3 linked regions of the Macaca mulatta genome follow. The protein of the gene in region 1 purifies or fractionates together with the protein of each later gene. This does not show direct contact. Links are inferred from orthologs where the notes say so. Each region holds a gene or a part of one and is shown in the gene's direction. Other genes may lie near its edges. The genes, in order: TUBB, ARL2 and LRRK2.

Region 1 (4,300 bases):
GAAGGCAACTTAGAAATACATTGATCTGCCCGCCGCGGTGGCTCACGCCTGTAATTCCAGCTCTTTGGGAGGCTAAGACGGGCGAATCACGAGGTCAGGGGATTGAGGCCATCCTGGCTAACATGGCGAAACCCTGTCTGTACCAAAAATACAATATATATATATATATAGATAGATATAGATATATATATATAGATATATAGATCTGTGTGTAATCGAATGTGAATGAACAATGATGTTGACTTGATACTACATTTCTGAGTGGCCAGACTGCAACATCCTGGAGGACAGGGAACTAATTATTAATCATTTTGTAACCATAGTTCCTAATTTGGTGGATACATAGTAACTATCAAATAAGTGAATAAATCTCTGGGAAGAAGCTGGTGGACTCTGTCTTGAGCCCATCCAATTTTCCCCCATCAATTTCCCCTCTCTCCTTTTTCAATACTGGGTATCTTGCAGAGTTGCAATGGCGGCCACCTGGTCAGTGAAATAAGCGAATTGAAAAACCACTGACTTCATTAACATGTCTAAAAAGGTAGGCTGAAAAAACTGAAAATCTATCAGGCATCTCATTCCATAGTTCCCTGTTTGACAAGAAGATCAAGGTGTCTTCAAAGTCTGCCCTAAGGCCCAGATCTCCTACGTGGATGGAGACTTCTAGTTTCACAAATCCCCGATGTCGGTTTCTCTAAACTATTTTATTCTTTGAACATACTCTCCAGACAACATCTCTATCCTGAAAAGCCCTTGCTGCAATTTTGTTTCTCTTTCAAAACAATGACTCGAAAATTTCCAAGGAAATAGCAAGAGGGCGATTCCCTTCTTGAAGTATTTGAGAGAGCAGAAGCTTACTTAAGTTCATGACTTGGGTCACCAAAGGCCAGAGGTAGCAGAGCACGGTGCCACACTCCTCCCCATTTTTCGCTGAGCTAAGCAATTCTGTCTTCCCTAGAGGTACTGCAGCTGGGAGCTTTTAGGGCGTACCTCACCACCCAACTTCTGGAACCCCAGACTTCTCAATCCCTGCATCCCCGAGAACTGCTCACTTTTTGTACAAAAACCTCAGGCACAGAGGAAAGGAATCTTGCGCAAGGTCGTTTTTCATTTACAAAACAAAAACCCAACAAAAACCAAACCGGTACCCACCCATTCGTCACTTCATTTTGCACCGTGAACAACAATAGGGGACTACAACTCCCAAAGAGGACTGCGCTCGTCCACTGGCTCAGAGGCCAATGGACGCCTGGTACATGACCGGCATCGACTAATCAGGGCCAGGCTCGATGAGGCTTTGTCTCCCGACCGCGCGCGGGGCCGATTCTCCCGCCTCCCAGCCCCGGCGCACGCGCGCCCCGCCCAGCCTGCCTTCCCTCCGCGCCCTCCCCTCTCCTTTCTCCCTCTCAGAACCTTCCTGCCGCCGCGTTCGCACCTCGCTGCTCCAGCGTCTGGGGCGCGTTCCAACCTTCCAGCCTGCGACCTGCAGAGAAAAAAAATTACTTATTTTCTTGCCCCATACATACCTTGAGGCGAGCAAAAAAAATTAATTTTAACCATGAGGGAAATCGTGCACATCCAGGCCGGTCAGTGTGGCAACCAGATCGGTGCCAAGGTAAGAATTTTACACCTCTTTTATTTCTTTTTAGAAGGAAAAATCCAGGTAAGTTATGAAAAAATGGTTGTGGGGCATTTGCACTCTCCATTCTTAATCAAGCTTTGCCCCTCCCAAGTTTGTTACATTTATATATATAATAACTAGCATTTGCTTTTGGAAAACTGGGAATCATTTTTCTTGGCAGGCACATTTTGGAGAAACTAGTAAAAGGGCTCTTCGGGTTTCGGGGGCGGGAAGACCAAGGACATATGTTACTTAAAAGGGCTTCTAACGGTCCAAGAACCGGGCAGGGAGAGAGATGCGGAAACAGTCGGAGACAAAGCGGGGCGAGGTTTTGCCCATGTGCATCCCGCCCAGCCCCCCCTGCGGGGTTCTTAGGGCCAAACGGGAGCGGGAAGGGGTGAGGCTGTCGGGCGGCTGCAGAGAGCTCCAGTGCAAAGGTCGGGGGGCGATGCGCCAGGGTGGGCTGCGCTGGGCGCTACCATTCACAAAAGATCAGGGACCCCAGCGCGCCCGCGACCCCGGAGGGCCGGTCCTGTAGTTGTTCCGGGGTGGAAGGAGAATAAGAACGGGATTAATTTTTCTTGCTTTCATGGCACCTAAGCGAGACCTCTTTAGGGCGTGAACTGATATGTCGAGAAAATGGGGGTGTGTGGTTTTCTTTAACGAGTCCTTCAGGACTTAATGGGAGAGAAAGAATGCTTTAAATCAAGGGGGAGAAATCTAGCAAAGGAATAAAATTCCGAGGCCAAGGGTTTTTTTTTTTTTTTTTTTTGCGCGCGGTTACAGTGTAGCGGGGGAGGGGCGGGAGGAAGTGCGGGTGCTACGTTGTAGCAGAAGGGCGGGGCCCTGCGGGGCGGGGCCAGGGCGCCGCTGGCGCGCGGGGACAATGCGGCGTTGCCCGCCGGGAGGGGCGCGCTACCCTGGGCCCCGCCCCTCGCGCGGAATTCTTGCCCCTGGCCCCGCCCACGTGCGAAGTCCTTTGTCGGCGGCTCGACCTGCGCGTGCGCCGCAGTCACGTGGAGGGTGGGGGGTGGTCGACTGCGGCAGCAGCTCTTCTAGTGCCCCGAGCCTTTTGTGCGCCGCGCGGTGGGGCGGTGCCCAGCTCGGGGGAAGAACAGCGGCGCTTATCCAAGTATGGTCGACCTCCATCCGCCCACCGAGCACTTGGGACCCGCTGCACATAATCCCGAGCCGGGAAAGCTGTGGCTTTCCCGGGGGAGCGAGTGTCTAGGGGAAGGGTGTGGCAGGCACACGGGATGCCAGGCCCTAGAACAACGGCCTGAGCGCGTGTGGGATTAAAATGGGAGATGTGGGGCTGAGGCGGGCTAATTGGGATCGCTCCCGCTCAGGGGTTTGAGACCATCCTGGGCAACAAAGCGAGACCCCTCCCCCCGGCCACATCTCTTCAAAAAAAAAAAAAAAAAAATTAACTGGGTGTGGTGGCGCGCGTCTGTGGTCCCAGCTATTCGAGAGGCTGAGATGGGAGGATCGGTTGAGCCTGGGAGTTTCAGGCTGTAGTGATCCGTGATTGCACCACTGCACTGCAGGCTGGGCAACAGAGGAAGACCCTGTCTTAAAAATTAAAAGAAGCTGGGCGCGGTGGCTCACGCCTGTAATCCCAGCACTTTAGGAGGCCGAGGTGGGCGGATCAAGAGATCTAGACCATCCTGGTCAACATGGTGAAACCCGTCTCTACTAAAAATACAAAAAATTAGCTGGGCGTGGTGGCGCGCGCCTGTAGTCCCAGCTACTCCGGAGGCTGAGGCAGGAGAATCGCTTGAACCCGGGAAGCAGAGGTTGCAGTGAGCCGAGATAGCGCCATTGCACTCCAGCCTGGCGACAGAGCGAGACTCCGTCTCAAAAAAAAAAAAGAAAAAAGTTAAGAAAAAGATGAAATAAAATGGTAGTTGGGGACGTAGTTGACTGGGACTTGACTTGTGGTCTCGTTGCTCCTGCCCGGCAGTTCTGGGAGGTGATCAGTGATGAACATGGCATCGACCCCACCGGCACCTACCACGGGGACAGCGACCTGCAGCTGGACCGCATCTCCGTGTACTACAATGAAGCCACAGGTAAGGGCAAGAGCCCGGGCAGCTCAGGTTCCCCTTCCCTGTCTCCCACTTCTCTGGGGTCTCTTTCCATTCCTGGCACGCCTTATCCCCTTTCGGTGAATCTATCATTTTCTCCCTTTTGTGAACCACCGTCGGGGCCAAAGACGTCTGCTGCCACCTGGTGGCAGGACCTGGAACAAGTCTTGGGTCCCTGCTGTCTTCCATTCCCAGTGTATCTATAAACCTTTCCCTCTGCCAGATCTCACAGCTCTTAACTTTATTCTTTGTAGGTGGCAAATATGTTCCTCGTGCCATCCTGGTGGATCTAGAACCTGGGACCATGGACTCTGTTCGCTCAGGTCCTTTTGGCCAGATCTTTAGACCAGACAACTTTGTATTTGGTAAGTTATACAGATGATATTAGCAGATGATATACTATCGTGTTCAACTTATTTGGGTGCAAGGACACAGCAAAAGTTAGGAGATGATTGTTGTACTGGAGTGCTAAGAACTGTATTCTGAAATCTAATGGAGGGTAGAGGTAGGGTAGAGGTAGTGCCTGCTGTTGCTGGTACATTATGGGGCAGTGGGGGGAGAATACATCACAGTGAAGGAGAAAGAAGATACA
Region 2 (2,393 bases), on another chromosome or scaffold:
GTTAAAGGGCTGTGTGAACCCAGAAGCGGGAGAGATCACATTCTCTGTGCACGTCTGGTCATCAGATTGGAGCAGTCTAGAACCACAGAGAGCTCAGGGATCATCTTATCCAGCACCCCTCCCTGTTTATGGAAGAGGAAGCTGAAGCATGGGGGACAGCGGTGTCCCCTGTGGTGGTTGACTGGAACCAGAACCCTGGCCCAGAACTGCCATCGCCCATGTGGTCCAGCCTTGATGGCTATGTCCACAAACTCACTCCTGGGCCTCTCCCACCACCACAGGGCCTCACCTTGATCTTCCAGGTCGATCCTTCACCCCAGATGCTCTGGGCCGTTAGAGGAGGGGTCAGGCTGTCCTCTGAGTCCCCACCCCACCCCTCTGTCTTCTCTTCCCCAGCGCCTGGCCGGAGCCACCCTCCTCATCTTTGCCAACAAGCAGGACCTGCCTGGAGCACTGTCCTCTAACGCCATCCGCGAGGTGAGTCCAGGCCCTGGGACAGGCCCACTGAGAGAAAGGGGCTCACTTTTTTTATTTTAAAAGCATTTATTAAAAATAACCAAAAAAAGTAATAATAAAAGCATTTATTAGCCCCTGCTAGGTGGCAGGACCTATGCAGGGCACTGGGGATCCAGTGATTAATAAGGCATGGGGTGGCCCACAGCCTGGGGAAGACAGAACTGCACATGTGTTGTTCACAGGCTAACAGTAGCCAGCACAAACAGAGTGCTTTCAGTATGCTCTGCTCCTTGCATGGATTAACTCATTTCATTCTCACAACAACCTCATGAGGTAAGAACTATTATTTTACACATGGTGAAGCAGGCTCAGAGAGATTAGGTAACTTGTCCCAGGTCACACAGCCACTAAATAGACCAGAAGCCTGTCTGACCCCAGAGCCCACATTTTAACCATGATTCTAGTGCTCAAGCACCACAGTGAGAAAGAGCAGCGTTAAAATCTTGGCTGTGCCACTTATGAGCTATGTGCCCTTAGGCAGGTTGCTTAACCTCTCTGAACTTTGGTTTCCTCCTTGGTGAAATGGCTGACACAATCCCTGGCTCATGAGGACTTGAGGAGAATGAGAGAGGATGTGTGGGGCTCCTGGCATGATGCCCAGATCCTGGTGGATGCTCAAGAGCCCGTGTTGCATTTACATCACTAAGGGGCGGCACTGGTGTGGTACTGGACAGAGAGCCCAGGTGCCCCTGGGGGCTGACAAAGTCTCTCAGGGACCAGCGGGGCTTCCTGGATGGGATGACCTGGAACAGGGCCTTGAGGGAGGCATGGAGCTCCTCTGGGCTGGGGAGGGAAGGGGCTGAGGGAAGGCAGGGTCTGCAGTCACTGACCACCACCATCAGCACCTTTGTTCTTCCAGGCCCTGGAGCTGGACTCCATCCGCAGCCACCACTGGTGCATCCAGGGCTGCAGCGCCGTCACCGGGGAGAACCTGCTGCCAGGCATCGACTGGCTCCTGGATGACATTTCCAGCCGCATCTTCACAGCTGACTGAGCCACTCCAGATGTCCCTCCACCTAGCAGTCCAGGTCCCCCAACCCTCACCAAACACTATCCATGGGGGCATGGGAGTCAGCCAGCCAAACTAACACTCCCCCTCCTCCACCCCAACCTGCTGCTGCTACTGCTGCCCGCTGCTGCTCTGTGGCCACCCAGCTCCTGTGGCGGGAGGGCTGTGCCCTGGCTGTTTCCCTGGCTCCTGGCCTGGCCTTTGGCTACCATACCAAGAAAAGAGGACTGGGCGGGGAGGAGCTGCTACTGCTGCTACCGAGGCTGTGGGCCTCATCCTTCACTCAGCTGTGAAATAAACCACTCCTTGCCCTGATTCCTGGCTGAGTCATTTGTTGATTCAACAGCGTTAGAGACCACCTGGGACCCACAATCCAGCAGGGGACAGAAAGGAACAGACCATTGCAGTCAATGGTGAGCTGCGGCTATGTCAAAGGGATGCAAAAAAAGTTATAGAAGCATGGGACACGGTGCAACTGATTCCATCCAGAGGAGTCCAGGCAGGCTTCCTAGAGGAGGTCATGTTAAAACTGGGAATAAAATGTGAGTAGTTTTCCAGGTAGAGAAAGGGGAAGACGGTTCACCAGGGGAACTCCAACTCTCATAGGTATGAATTAGAAAAAGGGACACAGCTCCAGACCAGGGCTCCAACTTTTTGAATGGAACATGGGCTGAAATTCAGCTCCCAATTCTCTGTTGTAGCCAGGACCCCATGTGCAGTGGACAACCTGAATAGCTGTATGAGGCCAGCAGAGGTTCAGGCAGAGGGGATCACAGGACAGGCATGAAGAGCAAAGGCTCTTGGGAAATGGGGAGGGGCATAGAGTCATGTGTGGGAGGGAGTGCAGCCAGAGGGCGGGAGGGGGCCA
Region 3 (2,808 bases), on another chromosome or scaffold:
GGTATTGGGCTATAACCGGAAAAGTACTGAAGGTACACAACAGCAGAAAGGTAACATTTAAAAGGATACTGTATTCCAAACAGTGCAATGACATGAATGATAGTAACATATTATGTGTTTTATAAATTTGTAGAAAATATTACATATGGTATAATCAGGAATTTTAATTGGTAGTTTATAGTATAAAGAACTTAGGCATAAACTTTCAAAATTACAAGTGATATGAAGTGTTAAATATTTATATTTTCAGATGAAGTAGAGGTGTCAATCACTAGCTCAACCTTAAACTAAATGTGAATATTTTTTACAACTTACCTGTATCTACATAATGTTTAATTTTCAACAGTGTTTGAAAAGCTTTATTTCTTTTAGATTATGAAATGTTAATTTATTAAATGTCCACACTCTTCTTGAAATTTAGTAGTTTCTATAATGTATTATAAAAATTGTCCAAGTACAGTTTTTTATAAATAATTATTTAGTGCATTAGTTATAGCTGTGTTTATATATACATTTATCTAAGTCAACTAAAAATACATAAGCCAAACTGAAATAAAATAAGAATGTTTTATGGTGGATCTTTGAAACTTGATTTCATCTTTTTCTTTTTCTAGAGATACAATCTTGCTTGACTGTTTGGGACATCAATCTTCCACATGAAGTGCAAAATTTAGAAAAACACATTGAAGTGAGAAAAGAATTAGCTGAAAAAATGAGAGGAACATCTATTGAATAAGAGAGAAACAGGAATTGTCTTTGGATAGGAAAATTATTCTCTTGTAAATATTTATTTAAAAATGTTCACATGAAAAGGGTACTCACATTTTTTGAAATAGCTCATGTGTATATGAAGGAATGTTATATTTTTAATTTAAATATATGTAAAAATACTTACCAGTAAACATATATTTTAAAGAACTATTTAAAACACAATGTTGTATTTCTTATGAATACCAGTTACTTTTGTGCATTAATTAATGAAAATAAATCTGTGAAATACCTAATTTAAGTACTCATACTAAAATTTATAAGGCCGATAATTTTTTGTTTTCTTGTCTGTAATGAAGATAAACTTTATTTTAAATTCTATGCTTAAGACAAGACTATTGCTTGTTGATTTTTCTAGAAATCTGCAAGGTAGAATGAAAATATTAAGACAGTTTCCCGTGTAATGTATTCCCTCTTAGATTGCTTTGAAATGCACTATCATATATGCTTGCAAATATTCAAATGAATTTGCACTAATAAATTCCTTTGTTGGTATGTGAATTCTCTTTGTTGCTGTTGCAGACAGTGCATGTTACACAACTTCACTCAATCCAAAAGAAAACTCCATTAAAAGTACTAATGAAAAAACATGACATACTGTCAAAGTCCTCATATCTAGGATATGAGGAGAGTTTCTGTGTCTTTCTGTGTCTTTCCTAGACATGATAGAGTTGTCTCTATCTTTTCAACTCTATCTTTGAGTATGGATACCCTGAATTTTGTATAATTAGTGTAAATACAGTGTTCAGTCCTTCAAGTGATATTTTTATTTTTTTATTCATACCATTAGCTACTTGTTTTCTAATCTGCTTCATCCTAATGCTTATATTCATCTTTTCCCTAAATTTGTGATGCTGCAGATCCTACATCATTCAGATAGAAACTTTTTTTTTTCAGAATTATAGAATTCCACAGCTCCTACCAAGACCATGAGGACAAATATCTAACACTTTTCAGTTGCTGAAGGAGAAAAGAGCTTTAGTTATGATGGATAAAAATATCTGCCACCCTAGGCTTCCAAATTATACTTAAATTGTTTACATAGCTTACCACAGTAGGAGTATCAGGGCCAAATACCTATGTAATAATTTGAGGTCATTTCTGCTTTAGGAAAAGTACTTTTGGTAAATTCTTTGGCCCTGACCAGTATTCATTATTTCAGACAATTCCCTGTGATAGGACAACTAGTCTATTTAATATTCTCAGAACTTATGGCATTTGACTATATGAAAACTTTAAATTTATTTATATTCAGGGTGATCAAATTCTTAAACATGAAAGATTTTCTGTATTTTAACTTGCTACGTAATTAACGACAACAAAAAAAAATACAGTAGAGCTCTTTGTTCCAGTGTTATCTCTTTCATTGTCACTTTGTATGTATTTGCAAATTTTTTTACCAAAGACAAACACAAAAATAGAATACTGTATTTACATGGAATAATAAAATTTTTAAAAGCATGTTTATGAATTTTTAAACTTTGTGATAGTGTTTTGCTTTTCACATACAGGTCTGTTATCCACCTCAAAGGAAACTTTGTATATTAATTTGTATATGGAACATTCCACGATAAGAAAGTGCAACTAAAGTTTTTTCTTGAGAACTTACAGAATATTTAAATTTACTTTTCTATAATACGTATGGTTGCCAGGATCCCAGGACAAAATCTGATGGGTATGAAACATTCTATTTTCAAGTTCTCTTAAAAATGTTTTGTGAGTAAATTTGTTTGCTCTTGAGTACTGAAACAAAATATAAGACTTTAGAGCAAATGATATATACAAAAAATAGGCACAGTCACTTCAAGTGTTTTCTGATTAGAAGCCTAAAATAACCTGCTAATTATGATCAAAATACAAACATTATCATAACAGAAAATATTCTTTTGGGAAAATTTTGAATTCAAAAAAGGGCGCCTCTCTGACTCTAATTCACTCTATCGATTATGTGTGAACTATTTTAACTAAAATGCAACTTATTTTTCATCAAGGCAGTGAAATATATTGATGAAACATAGCAGAATTAACAAAAGAAGATTG

What was found.
Region 2: the proteins of TUBB (region 1) and ARL2 purify together in Homo sapiens (co-immunoprecipitation; 3 studies listed by BioGRID and IntAct, counting the BioPlex papers as one, with this or other methods). This does not show direct contact. The link is inferred for Macaca mulatta from reciprocal best matches to the Homo sapiens genes TUBB and ARL2.
Region 3: the proteins of TUBB (region 1) and LRRK2 purify together in Homo sapiens (co-immunoprecipitation; 5 studies listed by BioGRID and IntAct, with this or other methods). This does not show direct contact. The link is inferred for Macaca mulatta from reciprocal best matches to the Homo sapiens genes TUBB and LRRK2.

Annotation. Positions count from the first base shown.
Region 1 is NC_133409.1:152,322,528-152,326,827, reverse strand, and holds the start of TUBB (tubulin beta chain), read left to right. Parts: upstream 1-1,484; 5' UTR 1,485-1,558; coding exon 1,559-1,615; intron 1,616-2,657; exon of another isoform or gene 2,658-2,941; intron 2,942-3,584; coding exon 3,585-3,693; intron 3,694-3,962; coding exon 3,963-4,073; intron 4,074-4,300. UniProt on the Homo sapiens protein: Tubulin is the major constituent of microtubules, a cylinder consisting of laterally associated linear protofilaments composed of alpha- and beta-tubulin heterodimers.
Region 2 is NC_133419.1:9,364,159-9,366,551, reverse strand, and holds the end of ARL2 (ADP-ribosylation factor-like protein 2), read left to right. Parts: intron 1-349; coding exon of another isoform or gene 350-362; coding exon 363-477; intron 478-698; coding exon of another isoform or gene 699-788; exon of another isoform or gene 789-789; intron 790-1,375; coding exon 1,376-1,510; 3' UTR 1,511-1,840; downstream 1,841-2,393. UniProt on the Homo sapiens protein: Small GTP-binding protein which cycles between an inactive GDP-bound and an active GTP-bound form, and the rate of cycling is regulated by guanine nucleotide exchange factors (GEF) and GTPase-activating proteins (GAP).
Region 3 is NC_133416.1:47,247,263-47,250,070, forward strand, and holds the end of LRRK2 (leucine-rich repeat serine/threonine-protein kinase 2), read left to right. Parts: coding exon 1-50; intron 51-614; coding exon 615-736; 3' UTR 737-2,247; downstream 2,248-2,808. UniProt on the Homo sapiens protein: Serine/threonine-protein kinase which phosphorylates a broad range of proteins involved in multiple processes such as neuronal plasticity, innate immunity, autophagy, and vesicle trafficking.